Linked DNA regions of Drosophila melanogaster. The protein of the gene in region 1 interacts with the protein of each later gene in a pairwise test. Each region holds a gene or a part of one and is shown on either strand. Other genes may lie near its edges.

The links.
Region 2: the proteins of santa-maria (region 1) and CG14511 interact in a two-hybrid assay, tested with the Drosophila melanogaster proteins (one large-scale study listed by BioGRID).
Region 3: the proteins of santa-maria (region 1) and CG34296 interact in a two-hybrid assay, tested with the Drosophila melanogaster proteins (one large-scale study listed by BioGRID).
Region 4: the proteins of santa-maria (region 1) and CG17198 interact in a two-hybrid assay, tested with the Drosophila melanogaster proteins (one large-scale study listed by BioGRID).

The regions. Positions count from the first base shown.
Region 1 is NT_033779.5:7,445,188-7,453,177, reverse strand, and holds santa-maria (scavenger receptor acting in neural tissue and majority of rhodopsin is absent), read left to right. Parts: upstream 1-1,933; 5' UTR 1,934-2,229; exon of another isoform or gene 2,230-5,490; 5' UTR 5,491-5,530; coding exon 5,531-5,671; intron 5,672-5,876; coding exon 5,877-6,182; intron 6,183-6,242; coding exon 6,243-6,762; intron 6,763-6,824; coding exon 6,825-7,549; 3' UTR 7,550-7,823; downstream 7,824-7,990. Other genes in the region: Gr28a (gustatory receptor 28a), read left to right, coding at 1-458, 518-637.
Region 2 is NT_033777.3:29,145,177-29,148,832, forward strand, and holds CG14511 (uncharacterized protein), read right to left. Parts: upstream 1,718-3,656; 5' UTR 1,626-1,717; coding exon 657-1,625; 3' UTR 502-656; downstream 1-501. Other genes in the region: superdeath (suppressor of ER stress-induced death), read left to right, coding at 1-36, 97-322; CG11882 (uncharacterized protein), read right to left, coding at 2,017-2,704, 2,775-2,878; Pglym78 (phosphoglyceromutase 78), read left to right, coding at 3,274-3,376.
Region 3 is NT_033777.3:29,720,609-29,723,521, reverse strand, and holds CG34296 (uncharacterized protein), read right to left. Parts: upstream 985-2,913; 5' UTR 964-984; coding exon 915-963; intron 859-914; coding exon 632-858; 3' UTR 509-631; downstream 1-508. Other genes in the region: Pcd (pterin-4a-carbinolamine dehydratase), read right to left, coding at 1-84, 166-293; CG15506 (uncharacterized protein), read right to left, coding at 1,277-1,879, 2,090-2,365.
Region 4 is NT_033777.3:25,772,795-25,777,249, forward strand, and holds CG17198 (uncharacterized protein), read right to left. Parts: upstream 2,576-4,455; 5' UTR 2,488-2,575; coding exon of another isoform or gene 1,664-2,487; intron 1,606-1,663; exon of another isoform or gene 1,586-1,605; coding exon of another isoform or gene 1,538-1,585; coding exon 638-1,537; 3' UTR 540-637; downstream 1-539. Other genes in the region: CG17197 (uncharacterized protein), read right to left, coding at 1,537-1,585, 1,664-2,487; CG17196 (uncharacterized protein), read right to left, coding at 2,582-3,412; CG17195 (uncharacterized protein), read right to left, coding at 3,536-4,387.

The DNA.
Region 1 (7,990 bases):
CCGTCATACGCCTCAATCCCGAATACGCAATCAAACAGGTGTCCAACATACACAATCTGCTCTGCGACATTTGCCAGACCATCGAGGAATACTTCACATATCCGCTGCTCGGAATCATAGCCATATCCTTTCTGTTCATTCTCTTTGATGACTTTTACATTTTGGAAGCCATTCTGAATCCCAAACGACTGGATGTCTTTGAGGCCGATGAGTTCTTTGCCTTCTTCCTGATGCAGCTCATCTGGTATATAGTGATCATAGTGCTGATCGTGGAGGGCAGCAGTCGGACTATTTTGCATAGCAGCTATACGGCAGCTATAGTTCACAAGATTCTCAATATCACCGATGATCCAGAACTCAGAGATCGACTTTTCCGTCTGTCCTTGCAGCTGTCGCATCGGAAGGTCCTTTTCACAGCCGCAGGACTTTTTCGTCTGGATCGCACACTGATTTTTACGGTGAACTAATGTTGAAAATAATTAAATATTTTATTTATTTAAGTGGTTAATTTTTGCAGATTACTGGTGCTGCCACGTGCTACCTCATTATCCTAATTCAGTTTCGATTCACACATCACATGGACGACACCAGCTCCAATTCAACAAATAATTTACATTCCATTCATCTCGGCGATTGATTAAAATTATATATACACATTAATCAATTAAATTTAAACATAAAGTGTCCTAACGTACAGATGAAAAATAAATTAAAGTTTTCCAGCTCGCAGTAAATTACATTTTTTATCCGTATTTTTTAAGTTATGATATAATATTTAAAGCAAGTAAACATTTCAATTGCACTTAATCAGTACGTTACGTATTCACGTAACGTAAGCCAATCGACAACAACAAGCTGGTTGCTACGTCACTGACTGTGTTGCTGGCTGACATGAGCTGCTTGAATTTCACTAATGAATTCAAATGGATAATGCTGGCCGAGACCCATTTCGAAGCTAAGGGCTGGCTTGACCCACTTCTGCTTGCTCCACTTCACAACATTGCAACATAATCTGCAGCGGTAACTGACTTTTGGCCACAACTGATAGCTAATCCCAGTTAGCACGCCATGTGAAAGGAGGCAAAAGACTAATCCAATAAGGAAGCCAGCCTGAATACGCACTGAAGCAATGACATTTTATTGTTTTATTGCCTCAGACTGCAATCCATGGGTGTTTTCTATGCCATTTGCTGGGGAGTTGTGCCCCTATGATAGCGAAATAAAACAAAAAAACAGTTGAAACTTTGCTCTGATCGCTTGTCGATTTTCGCAGCTTACAAGTGTGTGGGGTTAGTCGTGAATGTTCGCTGTTCACCCAGTGCTAATCATCACGATTAGCCGCATTGATAAGGCTTCGACAATTTGTTATCAATTCGGATTTCTACTTTACGATTTGTTTACTTTTCCACAAGCCACCCGATTCGTATGCGAAAATTCGCAGTTTTATGAAATCTAAGTGCATAGGAATTTCTTTCGCTGATTGTGATTTTTTGAAATGTGACCCAGTTATATTTGCTATTCGACTGAACAATAGAAAATATGTTGACTCTTTCAGTTCATTCATTTCATTTTTATATCATTTGATATTTATTAGATGTAAATATTTAAAAAATATATATATAAGAAACTAAAATATTTGTAAACGTATTTAACAAAGCAAATGGTTCAATTTAGATTATTTCCAAAAATTTATATAAAGATGGTGACACTGTTGTTTCTGACTACTTCTTCCCTTGGATGCATTCTACAGTTTTAAAGTCGTACTCGCGTTTCAGATTGTATATTGTTTAATTCAAAATTCAATGGCACAACTATGAAAAGCCCAAAGCGCAAATTAACCCAAACACCCACTCGCACACACACATACACACCGTTGCTCGGATACTCGGAGCTCTTCTCAAGCCCAATTCCATATACATTTCCATTTCCATGTGCCGCACTTGACTGACATTCATCGGCCGCCGAGACCGCTCCGCTCTGCTCGCGGTCCGTTCGCTGAGAGTCCGCCGCACAGTCGCATCGAAGCCGCCGGGCGAAGCGGTACCATTTTACGGCATTTCCCAGGGACTCGTGTCCACTTTTCCGGCCTCTGTGCAAAGAAATCATCCACGTGCTCAAGCGTTCTGTCCACATCCTTATCGAATTTCAATTTCCTCGCAAGGAAAATCAAAACGTAAAAAAAAAACCGAGGAGCCTGTGATTTGTTTCTATTTAGCAAATAAAAGTCAAGTGAGTGCCTTTAAAAGAAAATAAAGGAAATTTGGAAAGACAAAAGAAAACTCCTTTCGCAATATCACGTAATTTCTTAGCGCTTCCTGCTTTGTTAACACATTACGTTTTGGCTTGATTTGGCTTAATCGCCGGCAGACTTATTAAGATTACAGGTCATTAAATGAAATTAACTCGACAAGAATGAAAAATAGTCGCCAGACAGAAAACCAAATATATATGTATGTACAGTGGCAATCTATATTATACATTCTTTTTGTGTTTATACTGGCTTTGTGTGTCGTCTCCCTTTTGAAGAAATAAGAGTGCCGGAATGCAAAACAAAGGGCTTCCAGCTTGGACTACGAGGCGACCTGTTGATTGTGCGATTAATGGTCTAAAATTAGTCCCAGGGAAAACAGCTGCTCAGGAAAATATTAAGCATGCGCCCCGTTGACGAATTATGTTTTGTAGCTTGTATTTTTACATAAAACGAAATTGGGCGATGATAAATTATAATGAAAAAATAAAAAAATCTAGTATATGTTTTGGAATTTTCTGCAAAAGAACGGCAGCTGATCTTATTTGGTATATAAATAAAAAACAAAACAGTGGTGTACAAAACACATTGCGTATGCGACCTGTTAACCATTTAAAGTTCAAGATAATTAAATATCAACTTGCTCCCAACTAATTGCAGTTGCGTGTGCCTTTATAAGATAATAAATATCTGAAAAACAAATAATGTAAATACTCTAATAGAAAACCAACGAATGTCTTAAAAATTGCAAATTAAAATATTTATTTAAATTTTCTTTATTGTATGCAATAAAGAGCCAAAGAAACTTCACATTCATTTTCCAGCTATTCGCTAATTGAATAATCAATGCCCAGATTGGCGAATCCTCAATAAATACAGCTGTTCGTTGGCAAATTACTCATGGGACCCGTTTAAATATAGTTCAAGATAATCGAAACTAGCCCCTAATAGCATGTTCATTAAAGTTTCGTTTAAGAATTCAACTCATGCTGGACAATTAAAGTCAAATCAATTAATCAATTCACAATGAATTAATTAAAATCTCAAAGGGCTTAAACAACTTTAGTTAATACTGAAATCTTGGCTACGTAAAAGTGGCATTTAAAGAAATTTTTTGATTTAAAGTTCATTAAAAAGAAACAAAATAACTTTCTGCAGTTCAGGGACCTTTAAAAGTACCAAGCCTATTTACGGTTTAGCCTTTCGCTCTTTATTTATAGTTGTTGGCTTTTTTTTAAATCGTCGTGTGTATTTTCGTACTTGAAGGCTGCGAAAACTCAATTACATGCCGATAGCTCGTTATCAAAAAATACTCGCCCAAGCATATGTGAATTTGCGAACTGCGTCAAATCTGTAAGTTGCGGTTTATCTCAATGGCAGCCTTTGTGGTTAAATGGGGTTGAAAAACATCAGGAAAAACTGAGAAGGTGTTGACTTGTCTCACATCCAGTAGACGATCTTAAAGTATCGGGTTTACTGCGTCTGACTTAGTACTTAGAATTTCCGTTTCATATCAAGTGCACTTGCACTCAGGAAGTTAACGCCAAAAAGGCAGATAATTCTTGCTAGAATGTTTCAGAATGCATTCACTTTCGATGTGGCATCACTTCAGAGTTCAGTGTTCTCGGTGCATTTGCATAGAATATGAATAAAGCGTTCGGAGCATTCATAAAAATGTTAATATAGAAGATCAAGAACCAGAGAGTATGACAAGAGCATGCCTAATTTAATAATGAATCAAATATACCGGTCACTAAAATTTAAGCTTAATTAAACGCAATTATTCAGTGTTGCGGCTTCGAGCTTCAAGAGCGAATATCAAAGAACTGCACTGAAAAAAAAACGTATCTTGCTATAAATATTTTCTCACAAAAAGAGATATTCCTGCTAAAATCTCTTAGATTTCCATTCAAAATCTATCCTCGTTATGTGCGGTATTGCTCTTGATCTAATTGAATTAAGCGAAAAATGCGGGATGAACTCTACGTGATGCACCTGTCCAACGTCCATTTCAATTAAAACTCACTTCAGATTAATTGTGAAGACAATAAAAAGGCGCCGACAAATGCTCGACAGCTATTCATCATTCAAAAGACATAATCATATCAATTTACCAGACACCAACCAGAACACAACTGACACGCTCCCAAATAAGCATATATATATGTATATATGTGTATATATATATATAGATTCCTACTCGTATTCATGTGCAATAACGCAAAGTGTCAAAGACCCAACCATAGCTCACTGCGGGGTCAATTGATAGACTCAATTATGACGATATATCACAGAGATGCGAACCTGTGGCATATGTACGTACATATGCAATATTTATGCTCAAGTGATACATAGTGTTTGGTGATGGGAACTCTGGGCAGATTGGTCAAATAATTGCCAGAGGATGGATTCCCGATAAGCGATAAGTGCAGTGCAGTTCAATTTCCTCAATTGTCTGTGGCTTCCTCATGGGTCTGTTTACCTAAGAGTTCAGAATCCGCTTATCGGACCACAGTGAATGCCCCATATAGGAAAATTCGCCTACCGAATGCGATCATAAAATATTTTATCCACATTCATGCATGTTATTCGTAAACGAAATGGATAATTACACGTATTGCTTGCAATGCAGCTTCAAACTATCATAACTAATTAAAACACATCATCGTTGAGTGTCGGGGGAAGCTTTGTAATTATCACCACTGATAGGGGATTCGACTATAGTTCTGTATATATGTACACATATACTTACCGGACTTAGTATATTCTACATGAGTGTAAACAGCAATTGAAAGTCACGCTTTGCTTAAATTGATTCAATTATATTGATAAAAATAGACGCTATGGGAATTCGTCACTCAATAAAATGCTGCGCTTTTTGCATTTTATTTGTATTCAATTCTTTGTTGATTTCTTTGTTCGCCATACTTATATTAATATGTGACTTGATGCATCTGTTAATAAGAGATTTGATTCTACATTTTTTTTATTCTTTAACTAGCACTGCCTGAAAGTAGGCAACATGAACATGAGTTCACAAAATAATATTGTGTAAAGTTATATTTTAAATTATTGTATTATGATTTGTTCATAATGATTTTATAATAGAAAACTTATCAGTACATTCTCAACTTGCACTACATTTATGAGTTCTTTCATTTGATCCATTTTTATATGTTGGCAAATAGACTATCAATTTATCCATTTTCATTGATGTTTCAATGACTTGCATATCATTACAGCCACCATTAGGTATCCACACACCATCGCCCAGCGTGAGCCATGCCAACACAAAACAGCGCAATGTGGGGCCAAAAAAGTAATCGCAAATTAATTATCGGCATTTTCGGCTTTTGCCTGGGACTATTTGGCATATTGTGCGGCATGTTCTGGGTGGACCTGTTCGATTGGATCATGCACAAGGTAATCCCAGTCATTGACAGAGGTTCAGTTAAGTTCATTTCACTTCACTCCAGTGTTAGCCCGGCCAGCTGCATTCGATTAGTGGCTAAAGCCAATTGAAAGTCAAAAGAAAAACAGCCGCCTCTCAATTGGCGCGAGTCAAAGATCGAGGAAAACTCGTTGAGATTTTCAATTAATACCAATTGCGGCTTCTGTTCTTCGACAGGAAATGGCTCTGGCCCCCGACACACGTGTCTATGAAAATTGGAAGAGTCCGCCAATTGATCTCAGTCTGGACATCTACCTGTACAACTGGACGAATCCGGAGGATTTCGGCAACCTTTCCACAAAGCCCATTCTGGAGCAGGTGGGTCCTTATCGTTTTATCGAGCGACCCGATAAGGTGGACATTCACTGGCATCCAGAAAATGCATCCGTCACTTATCGCAGGCGCAGCTTGTTCTACTTTGATGCGGCGGGCAGTAATGGCAGCCTGGACGATGAGATTACCACGCTTAATGCAGTGGCTCTGGTAAGTATCCTATTCCCTTTTATTACATAATATAACTATAACTATACATTTCCATTTCAGTCTGCAGCCGCCACAGCCAAATATTGGCCACCAGTTAAGCGCTCCCTTGTCGATGTGGGACTAAAGATGTACGGTGCCGAGATGTCTGTCCAAAAATCGATCGATGAGCTGCTCTTCACCGGTTACAATGACGCAATGATCGACGTGGCCATGGCCATGCCCATTTTTGGTGATGAGGTGAAGGTTCCATTCGATAAGTTCGGTTGGTTCTATACGCGCAATGGAAGTGCCGATCTTACCGGAGTTTTTAATGTCTTCACTGGCGCCGATCAACTGGCCAAACTGGGTCAGATGCACTCGTGGAATTACCAGGAGAACACTGGATTCTTTGATTCCTATTGCGGTATGACCAATGGATCCGCCGGGGAGTTCCAGCCACAGCATCTGAAGCCCGGCGATAGTGTTGGTCTATTTACGCCCGATATGTGCCGAACTATTCCGCTGGATTATGTGGAAACTGTGGATATTGAAGGACTGGAAGGTTATAAATTCTCAGGCGGACCACGATCTGTAGATAATGGTGAGTCTTGATAAGAATTGATTAATTGTGAGTACCCATTCTATTAGAGATTTATATTTCAGGCACCCAGTATCCTGAGAACCTTTGTTTTTGTGGTGGCCAATGTGTTCCGTCGGGTGTGATGAACATCAGTTCCTGTCGCTTTGGATCTCCTGTTTTTATGTCCTATCCACACTTTTTCAACGCCGATCCTTACTACCCAGATCAGGTAGAGGGCTTGAGTCCTAACCAGAAGGATCACGAGTTTTATATGGTTGTGCAGCCAAGTACTGGTATTCCCCTGGAGGTGGCTGCCCGATTTCAAGTGAATATGCTCGTGGAGCCAATCCAAGGCATTAGCTTATACACTGGAATACCAAGGATATTTTTCCCACTCGTATGGTTCGAACAGAAAGTAAGAATCACTCCAGATATGGCAGATCAACTGAAGGTGCTGCCCATTGTCATGCTCTCCGGACATATATTCGCCGGAATTTGCTTGATCGTAGGCATAACTCTACTCTGCTGGACTCCGGTTCAGATTCTATTGGCTTCCTGTCGAAATCGTAGATACGATCTGAGGACCAAAACCAAAACGAATGGCCAGTATAAGAGTCGCTCTCAATTCTCCAGTGCTGAGGAACTGAAGTCCAAGGCCTCCACTTTGGTGTGCGAAAAGAGTGTCAAAGGATCTCCGGACAGTTCTCCGCTCCTCGAAAAAGGCCGTAAGCCAACCATTATTAAATCCCAGACGGGTGAAAGTGTGGCCACTGCATCCACAGCCATCAGCGACAATAAGCAGGATTGAACAGAACCGCCACATTCACGCCATTTAGATAGTTAAGCCGTCCTAGTGCTTTAGTCGTAGCTCATAGTTTAGTGACACTCTAAAACACCCAACTGAAAATTGCAAGCATTCCCGTGCCTATGCCAAAGATTAGATAGCCTTCGAAGTCGAAACGTCTGGTGGACTTCGCTTAGCTAACGAATACTCTTTTTACATTCCTTAGTTATTAGATATGTTTTGTATTAAAATGATTTCTTGACCCATGGCTTTCGTGTCAAATAAAATCTTCAACTACAAAGGAAATTATCATTTTAGTAGGTTAAGTGGGTAAGATTGCACATAACTATTTTTATTTCATTACAGCTCACAACGTTTGTTTTGAATTTTAACAACATTTTTTTCATCTTTATTAGTTCAATAACAATTATACAAAATATATAGTATATATGGTATCCACTTTAA
Region 2 (3,656 bases), on another chromosome or scaffold:
TTTTCTGCGCAACAACTGGCAGGAGATCAAGACCTAGTAAGTGGCGAAATTGTCGCTTTATTCCGTGCATTACTAAAGGGTTTGCATTTTTTCCAGCATGGGCTCACAGATGTCCAGCATCCACACGCTGTTCAAGTTCGCCACGAAGGGCTTCAACTCCAAGTTCCAGCTGGGCGAATTTGAGAACTTCGTGAAGGACGCCCACTGGGACTACGACAGACCCGTGCAACAGATCGTGGAGCACATCGAGACCAGCGTCGACTGGATGAACAAGAACTACAAGTCGATCGTGCGGTGGCTGGAGAACGAGGCGCAAGCGTAAGGAACGGATTCTGCGGCTTGGCTGGATCAAGGCTGCAGCAGTATTAGATTTCGCAGCTGCAACTGCATGGGTTGGGCCACCAATGCATTTATGTGTAATATTTATGTCGCGTGTTTTACCAATTCAGAGTCGCCAAAGAGAGAAAGCCCTTGGCAGATCGTCCAGAGCATCACGTTTTTCATTACTTTTAATGTATGCCTTCTTTTCATAACAATTATGAGTCTTGTAATTTTAATTTGTACTTAAATGTAATTGTAAATGTAAATGGAATTATAACATTGTTCGTCACAAAAAAGTTTTGGAAAGCCTATTCCTGTTTCACAGCCTGGTTTTTTCATTTCGGAACTCTGATCACATTTGCAAACATCAAGGTGCCCACAAAGACTAGCGCGGTGCCCAGCCAGTGCCACCAGGTGAAGGGATTTCGGAAGTATACGATCGAAAAGACCAGCGAGATGAACTTGCGGAGTGTGAGGATCAGAGTCACCGTCAGCGAGCTGCACTCCGTGGTCAGGGTGTAAACGGAGCTGATGCACAAATGCTGCGCAAGCACGTTGCCCAATAAGTATAGCAGGATTAGGGGCACTGCCACGCCCAGGAGGGGCAACTGGTAGGACTCGCCCGTGAACGCCAAAAGCCAGTGCGTCCGTATGTCGTCATGCATGAGCAGGAAGGCGGGCAGCGGCAACAGGTGGGTGTAATACAACGCTTCCCTGGCGCACTTGCCATGACGTCGATACAGCAACTCCTGTGTAATTCCCATGTAGGAGGAAACAAATAGAGCCAGCACCAAGAGTGCCACGCCCAACAGCCACCAGAACGTATCCGCCTCGGCGCCACTATCCAAATTCTCCATCTTACCCACCAAATCCGGACTGGAGAAATATGTGCAGACGAAAATGCCCACGCTGATCATGAGCACCGATATGTACTGACTCAACCGGTAACTCCTCTTCAGGATCAACGTGCACAGGCACATGTTGGAGATCAGCGAACCGCCGCGTATGATCATGTGCAGTGTCATTGGAACTTTGAACTTGAACACGTAGTTGTTGCATACGCTGGTCAGGAAAAACATGGCCACGAGGAGCGCATAGTCGCGCAGGCTGATCACTCTCTGGGCCAGGCCAAACTTCGAGGTGAAGATGAAGCCCTCGAGGGCAATAAATGCAAACTGGGCGCCAGTTATAAGGTTTCCAGCGCCGGGATCCAGTTTAACCAGGAGCTCCAAGAAGACGACGCCACTGCAGCAGCCCAAGAAAACGCCGCAGATGGCCGAAATAGCGCGGATGGATAAATTCATGAACTCGCGCAACGAAAGTAGACGATTCCCACCAACTTTAACCTACGATCTGGGCCATGACGAGCTTTTAAGCCAACTTACTTTCTCTTCGGCCATACAAAACGTAAACAAATGCAACAGGTGGTTATCGATAAAGTTCGGTTCGGGCACAGCTGATGTTGGTCTATCGAAAGTGGTTGAAATTCAAATATTCCAAGCGAAAAAGAAAAAATTTATGATTTTAAGAGAAGAATATTTTATTTAATGTACATTACATTCAAAACCAAACTTAAATATGTTGCCTAATCACATTCGAAATATTCGCACCAACAGTCTTTTACAACAATTACAAAATACAATGATGACAATGCTAAGAAAGAAATTACAGATTAGCAAATTAATGGTATATTACTTATTTTTCCTTTTCCAGCAAGGCAATAATTTTGTTTAACTTTTCCGTCTGCTGGGCCTCGAAGTTGTCCAGTCTCTTAGACACTAACAGCGTCAGCTTCTCAAATCTCATGTCGATGTGCTCCTTGAGGATTGCAACATCGGTGGAAGGCGGTGCAGTCTCTTGGGTTTGGTCCTTCGCCTGCGGGGAATAGCCCTTCATCAGGCTCATGAACTGCTCGAACTTTTCGGCCTGCTCCTCCTTCTTCAAGGGACTCGTGCCACCCCTTTGCAGCAGCTCTTGGATTCGCTGCGCATCCATTGGCCTGGGCAACTGGGTGGTTATGCCGTTGGGATTCGGCGCCACCTGGAGCAGGGCTCCGTAAACGCAGATCTCGCTGGCCGAGGTGAGCATCTTCAGGTTTATGTCATTTATCCCGGATCGGTCGATTTCCATGTCATAGCGATAGGGTCGCACCGCAACCTCTGGGTCCTCATCGTCGACGCAAGTGCCGTAGATGGTCTCGCAGTACTCCTGCAAGGGTCCAATGAACAGCTCCACCTTGGGAGCGCTGCAAATCAGGGTGAGCGCGGCGATTTTGAAGCGGTTCGGGATCTGGAAGCGCAGCTCACAAGGCGGCGGCGGATCCGCCGACTGCATGGAAAACAGCACGGCGCGATTCTCGTCGATCACGTCGTCCAAGTCGGGCCTGCGGACAAAGGAGGTTTCAAAATTACTTGATAAAAACCAGTTTCGGGGCGTGGAATCCTTTGTCTCACTTCACAAAGACGTCTTCGTCGGACAAGCGGGTGGCCACCAGTTGGTCCAGCCCGTTGCCCGACAGCTGGGGCCAAGTGCAGCGCGCGGTGACCTTTTCGCACATGCTTTAAGTGACAAAAAGTTGGAATTTATGGGAGCAAAATTTAAAAACAGCCAAATTTAAAAACCAAAACACGAATATAGTGATGACAAACGCGAGCGATAACATCTGCGCGGGGGATGCCAACCTGTTGCACAGCGCAAACTAATTGGACATTTGAAGGTAGCTTGACGCGCTATTCCAATAAGACCATACTCCGGAGTCCAATCAGAGAAGGCACCGCATCTGCGCACTACGTTTTTCCAACAGAACGGCAATATCGCGGCCTGACAGCTGCGACCTTGGACGGCTCCCTTGTAGGTCAAACTTCAGCAGAATTCCCACATATTGCAGTCGCAGCAAGGCGGCAGCTTAAGAACGAGTACACAATTATCCGCAGAGTGATCAACGCAGCTAAAATGGGCGGCAAGTACAAGATCGTGATGGTGCGCCACGGCGAGTCCGAGTGGAACCAGAAGAATCAGTTCTGCGGCTGGTACGACGCCAACCTCAGCGAAAAGGGTGAGTGATTACATCAATTTGAAATTTAAACCTCATATGTGGGATTAAAAATCTGATGTACATCTAGTTTCCAATCGATGATCCTTTGCTTTGATCAGTTTCACAATAGTATTCCTTTTCATTTACCCAAATTAATCTTCATTGACCTAGTGCAACATTATCTCATTCAAACTTTTCTGTGATAAAAATAGGTCTCTACAAACAAAAGCTTTCCAGTGCAATTTTCAGAAGCATCAAAATTCTAGTTTGTTACACTTTAAAGTCAAAAATTTGCCATCTC
Region 3 (2,913 bases), on another chromosome or scaffold:
CTCCGGAGATTCGCACTGCCACCAGTTGCTGCCCGTGCTGCTTCTCTCGCTGCTGGCGAATACAGAACTGAGATTTGCGACAGGCTGCGCGAAAAATAAAGCTCAGATTTAAGTTTGGTATTTTTGCCCCTCCCTCCCCTTCCGCACATTCCACCTTTTGAATACCTTCTACTCGTTGCTGTTGTTGCAGTTGTGGGGAATAAACCAGCTCTGCGGCTGCTGGCAAGCAGATTGGCCACTTTCTGGCAGTTCGGCTTAATCACATTCTGAGCGCATTTAATTGTTAACAACATTTTCGATCCAAAACTCGTTTGTTCTTAGCTGCTGTTTTTGTTGCTGTTGCTGTCGGCGCGGAACAGCTGACTTGTGTCGTATGTTAGCTAACATTGAGTTAACATGGAGCTGTAAAAACTGCCAACTTGTTTTGACAACGTCTGCTAGCAACATAACTGTTATAAAGTCTAATGCCGCGTAATTTGAATTTAGATTTCTTATTGGATTTCTTATTGATTTCTAGAGATTTGACATACAGTTTATTTATTAAATGGCCTTCTCTTACATTGTTATGACATTAAAGTCGCTCTGATTATATCAAGTGTTAATATATAGTCATATGGCTGGAATATGACTATTACTTGTGCACCACATTCTCCGTCTCCCCATTTCCGTAATAGTCGTAATCCGAACTGGCGGTGGAAGTGGCCAGCTTGGGATGGTCGGTGGTGGTGACCGTGTTAACGGTTGATCCACTGGATCCAGTGACCACTTCAGGCGCCACAGTGGTTGTCTTCCTCCAACGCAAGCTATAGCGACTGCGAATGAACGGCGGCTTGGTCACCAAAACCGAGTCACCAATCGCTGCATATTGGATATTGTTATTCATTGGGTATCCAAAGACCAAAGTTGTAGCTCACCCATTCCGATGAGGCAACAGCAGAGGATCAGGAGCAGGGCCAGCTTCATTCTGAGTTCCCCTTTCGATGTTAACTGTAACTTTTCCCGGCAACTCGACTGCCTTTATAGTCCCATCAGAGCTGAGATAAACGGCTCCCAATTCCCCGACGAAAGCGAAATCGTCCCCTGGTTTCCCTGGGGAACTGGGGAACATCCATCCAAGTTCAATCACCGCCAGTGCGATTTTATGTTTTTTATTCGTTATCTCTGAATGAACTCTTACTTTAGCTTACGGGTTAAGGCGACATTGTACAATCGAATCGATATTATGCCTAAGCGAAATGGTAATAAATACGTGTGTGGAATTTTGGTCAGCCCGCAATCAGTTGTCCGTTTCCGGTTTGCGTTCCGCTTCCGGTTCCGGTTCCGGTTCCGCGGGCCGTGGACGCTTGGGTCCGGAGGGTATTGGCGGAGGTGGAACATCCGGCACCGCGCTGTTTTTGCTCTCCGAACCGTTGCGAATGTCCTCGAAACTGGGCTGCGCCGGCTCCAGATTCTCCAGGGGAAGTGGCTGTGGCGAAGGTGGACTCTGGACGGGATTCAGTGGCTGTTCCTGCTCCGCGCGCGGCAAAGTGGCTGCCCGCAGGGGATAACCCTGGCTGGGATAGTAGTCGTACGGCGGCAAGTAGTTCTGCCTTATGAAGCCCGCTTGGTCATAGATCACTGGATACTGGCTGTAAGGATACGGTGGCAGGTGCATGGGTTGGCCTCTGAACTGGGAGGGCAGTGGTATCAGCACGGGCGGCAATCCCTGCTGATTCAACGGCACTGGCATCTGCTCCTTGGGCATCTCCTGGCGCTCCACGGTTCCGGGTGGCGACGCCGACTGCGGCTGCTGCTCCACTGGCGCCTCCACCGGTTGTTGGGGTTCATATGGAGCATAGCCAGCGGGATACTGGGCGGCAGATGGCAGAGGGTAAGGGAGCTGTAATATTAAGGTTTCAATAGTTTAAACTACTATATTTCTTTTTTGAGTGCGGTTCATTGCTCTAGTCAGAGATTTCTAGAGTGAGCTTTTTATGATACCTATTATTAAATTAATCATTGTCTTATTATAGCTAGCAGTAATTTAATCTTGCGAAATATTTCGCTAAGTTTATCAGTGTTAGCAACTTAATGAAACCCATAAGCTCACCCTCTCATTTGGCGTCAATCCCGGGACAATCGGTTGGCCGAATCTCACAATCGGCGGACTGTAGAATCCGTAGGGATTGTAGGGTCCAAAGGGGGCGTAGCCCGGCTCGTGAATGGTGGGCTGGATGACCGGATAGGCGCGGCTGGAGGTCAGGTTGTCGTCGGTGGTGATGAGAGCGTTGTAGACCTTGGGCTTCTTCCTCAGGCGACGGGCGGCCAGCGAGGAATCGGTCCACAGAACAAGTCCCAGTAGCAGTAGGAGAATCAAAATGGTGTGCTGCCGAGAATAGAAATCGAAATCGAAGTCGGCGTTTATATATTGTGCATATAGAAGTAGATACAAGTGACCATTGACAGCTGTCCCTGGGTTTGTCACTACTGCTGCTGGATGGCGATCAATGAAAACCATAATCTGTCTAATTGATCGCCATATCGACAATCAATCAATGAATTGTTTGGACTACGCACAATGTGTGCTTGTGCTGGACGGAAGTTGTGCAGCTGGAACTCTGGGTGCTCTACAGGGAAGCTTGTTAGTAATGGCTTTAAAAAGCCAGGTATTACGTGTCTGTATGGACTATATGGAGTCAGAAGAAACCCACGACTTTCAAATACCAGCACTGCAGTCGTCGAAACAATCAACACATGTCAGCCTTTGTTGCGAATTCTCTACACTTCATTAGTTTTGAATTGAAATGTAGATTGTTCCTTTAATTGGATTACGGAGTAGCCGATCGAACCGGACGGCGCTGCTACCTCTTACACTGAGCGAAAAAAGTCTATTCAGAACGTGTACATCGTTCACTTGAAAAGGTTAAGGCATAC
Region 4 (4,455 bases), on another chromosome or scaffold:
TTGAGCCGGCGGCGACTTTTTTATTTGGCAATTATGTTGTTTAGACCTCGCAGCAGATTTCGCACCTCGAACATTTTTCATGCACCGAAACACGGAAACGCCCACTCATGGACTTTGATTCCATGTTTTGGGGCATGTCACTGGCATGCGCCGTCATTAATTCTACCATTTCCCAGCCCCCTGGACTCCCATGAATTGTCTATACCGACCGAGCTGTTGTTCTAGCCGCTTTCATTTTTCAAAACGGATTTCAGCTTTTTTCGACACTTGACAAGTGTTTTCGACTTGCGGCAGAAGGTGTCACAAGCCATGGACAGATTTGAGGTTGATTTCGTTGGGCAGGATGTACTTCTCAGCAATTTTCGTGGGCGGAGAGATATGCAAATGTAGGGCGTTTATGGCTTGAATTAAGGACTTCTATCTAGGCGAATTGTTTTTGTTTTGTGTTTTGTCTGCATTCAATTTTTATACATAGATATAAAGTCACTGTACACCTTTACACGTTTATTTTTGAACTAAGAAAATTGTCCGTGTTATTTATAGTCTATTACATTCTTTATTTAGCGACAAATACAACATAACGGAAATAGAATATAATCTTAATGGTCAAGAATAGATAGATGATATCAAATTTGGACTAGACGGCACGCTTCGATTTCCATCGGGTGCCATTGTGGGGCAGGGGACTTTTGATATTTGGCGATAGGCAAGTCCATAATCGCCGACTTCCCAGGATCAGGGTCAAATTATTCCCTAATCCAAGGTCATAGGTTCGATCAGAATAATCGTGCATTACTGAGTTTTTGATGACCGTCACTACTTGGGTGCAAAACAGTGCTGCTGGAAAGAGAACGGCGAATATGTTGACACCTAAGACACTGACTATTCGATAGAATATCACTAATTCTTTTCTACCAGGATTCATGTAAGCATTAAAAATAATGTAATTGGCTTTGACTAAATCAAAAAATCCAACACCGTGCTTATGGGCCAACATGAAGTTATCAAATAAGGCCACTGCGCTACCGATGGCCGCGTAAAATGAGAACCATATGAAATATCGCTGATTATTGTGTCCCACGCAGTTGCCCACAAAATTGCAGTGGTGATCGCGTTTCAGAATGCACGCATCACAGATGTTGCAGTGCCAGGACCTTGGCGGTACATTCCTTTGGCATATTTTGCAAAAATGCCACAGGTGCTCTTCACCTTTCATTGGCTGCTGCATTTGCGGCGGCAAAGAGTCCACAGTGTTCAACGTCGTGACGCACAGCCTTAAGTTTTCCAGAATATTGTAGACAATCCAAGTGGTGACTAAAAAATGAACCGCCTGTCCAAACAATCCCAAAAACTGTGGCATTACGTAGAAAGCTTCGAAGAAGTAGAAAAACAAGATTATGCAGACATTTATGGATACTCCCATGATATCTGTCCAGGATTTGATGGCCCCCACGCGTCTTGGGATGTTGATGGTCTGCATTTGAACTTGTGATTGCATGATGCCCCGAAGCTGTACAAATACATGAGAAATTTTCATCAATCGGATACACGGAGAAACTGTAATTTTGGTGAATGATGCTGAACACTATGATTAAAATACAAAAGGTGGTATATCATGTCAGTTTCAATATAGTTAAAATTTTTAAACTTGCTGATGTCGTACCGTTTGATCTTCCACTGGGCACCATCATGGGGCAGAGGACTCTTAACGGTGGGTGAGAGGAAAGTCCAAAAGCCTTTTCCGCCCAAAATCAGCTTGAAATTCTCCCACAAGCCCAGATCGTAGGTATCACTGTAAAACTTATGCAAAGTGCCATTATTTTTAAGTACAGATAATTGCATAAGCACCGAAGATACAGGGGCTGCAAATACGTAGGTGTTTAGTATAAGAGTGATGACCAGCCAAAATGGAGGTAAGTTATCCCTAGGGATATTTAGGAATATCAGGTCCGAATAGCTAAAATACTTTAGGGTGGCAATAATATGGGTAGCCAAGGCCACACCAGTTCCCAAAGCCATGAAGAGGGTGAACCAGAAAAAGTATCTCTGATTATTGTGTCCGACGCAACTGGCAGTGAAAATGCAGTGGCGGTCCCGCTTCAGAATGCAGCACTTGCACAATATACAGTGCCAGGATCTTGGAGGCATTAGTTTTTCACAAACATCGCAGTAATGCCACTGGTGCTCCTCTTCCGGCTCCGGAATTTGCCGATCCTTTGGCAGGCTCTCCACCGAAGTGCTTGTGATATGACACGCAAGCATATTGCCAAAGATATTATATGTTATAAAGATTGCCACTAGCCAGCCGAGCTTGTACATGAATCCTTGAACATCAAACAATTGGGGTACCACGTAAAACATTTGCAGGACCACAAAAAAGATCGTTGTCACGATTACGAATAGTACTGCGGTCGGATGGGAGATTCGAACGAATATCTTTGGATTTCGACGCGCCAAGTACTTGGTGCAGGCCCATATCAAACACATAATTTTCCGATTTTAAAATTATATATAATTCAGAGTGTAAGCTTGTGTTTTCTGATTTGATGTTGACGAGTTAAGCATTACGTAAAAATTTTCTTTAAAAACATTGCTTAATTTTCCAGTGAGTTCCATCATGCGGCAAAGGACTTCTCAGCGAGGGAGATATAAAAGTCCAGAGTCCTCGCTGACCCATAATAAGCTGGCAGTTATTTCGGAAACCCAAATCGTGATGGCGACTGGAAATTTGATAGTACGTTGAGTTTAACTTTAGAATCTGCACTTGAAATCTCAACATGAGGGCAGGGAATCCGAGGGCAAATATATTGAGAATCAAGCACACGTACCGAAAGTAACTTAAAGATTTTACTGTGTTTCCAAAACCAGCCTTCATTCTGTGCAAAAGATAAAAGCTCCTTCCCACATCAACAAATAGGGTTGCCATGCTCATGAAAATCCCAAATGCCAAATAGAATGTAAGCCAGAAGAAATATCGGTGATTATTGTGTCCGATGCAAGTGGCTGCGAAGATGCAGTGGTGGTCTCGCTTCAAAATGCAGCATTTACACAGTGCACAGTGCCAGGATCGTGGAGGCATCAGTTTCTGACAGATATCGCAATAATGCCACAGGTGCTCCGTTCCCGGTTTCGGAATTTGCCGCTCCTGAGGCAGACTTTTCACTGCTGAGCTTGTACGGTAGCAGGCCAGCAAGTTTCCCAGGATATTGTATGTTGTAAAAATCGCTGATATCACAAAGAACTTATACATAAAACCATCATGCACATCGGGGGCCACATAAAAGACCTGCAGCGTGAAGAAAAAAACCGTGCTCACCAGTAAAAAAATCACTGACAAAGGATGTCCTATGCTCACGGCCTTCTTAGGATAGAGATTGGCATATTCGCGGCACCAATCATTTACGATACACATGATTGTAGGATTTTGAATACAACACCGTATTTTCCACAACTTGACATTAGATGAAAATAAGTTATGATTGGCTTGTTAAAATCGATATATATTTTTCAATAATTTAGTAATACGTCTATTAATTTAGTGAGACTGCTTCATCTGCCAATGTGCACCGTCATGGGGCAAAGGACTCTTCAGCAAGGGCGATATAAAAGTCCAAAGTCCTCGTTGGCCCATTATTGTCTGGCAGTTCTTTCGGAAACCCAGATCGTAGGTGCAATCAAAAATATTATAGTAGGTAGAGTTTTGGCTTAAAATCTGCATTTGATATGCCAACATAAAGGCAGGCATATAGCTGGCGCTTATATTCAAGAGGAAGGCAATGGTCTCAAAAGTATTGCCAGTATAATTTTGGAAAAAAGTCCTAGTTATTAAATTAAAAATCACAGACGAGAGACTCATGAAGTTACCGCCATTCTGCAGGATAAACATACAAAATGTTGCAAAGCTTGTGACTAAGCCGAGCGTTAAATAAAATGTGAACCAGAAGAAAAAGCGTTGATTATTGTGTCCAATGCAAGTGCCCGTGAATATACAGTGGTGGTCCCGTCTCAAAATGCAGGTGTTGCACAAAACGCAGTGCCAGGATCGTGGCGATCTCAGCTTTTTACACGATTCGCAATAGTGCCACAGGGGCTCATCCTCTGGATTCGGGCATCGGGAGTCCTTGGACAAGGTGTTTACCGATGAGCTAGTCATATAGCAGGCCAGCATGTTACCAAGTATGTTGTGCGTTATGAAGGTGACCAATATCCAGTAGAGCTTGTAAGCAATGTCGCCAAACACTTTGGGCGCAATGTAAAACATCTGCAGTGAGAAGAAGAAAGCTGTGCTGCACAGGACGAAAACTATCGAAAGTGGATGCACTATCCTCACAAAGTTCTTCGGGTAGCGATTGGCAAAGTAATGGCAAAATCTATTCACGTAGCACATTTTTTAGGATTTTGAAAACTTCTGTTGTAAATTATAGACTAAATAGAAACATTTACATCACAGAAGAA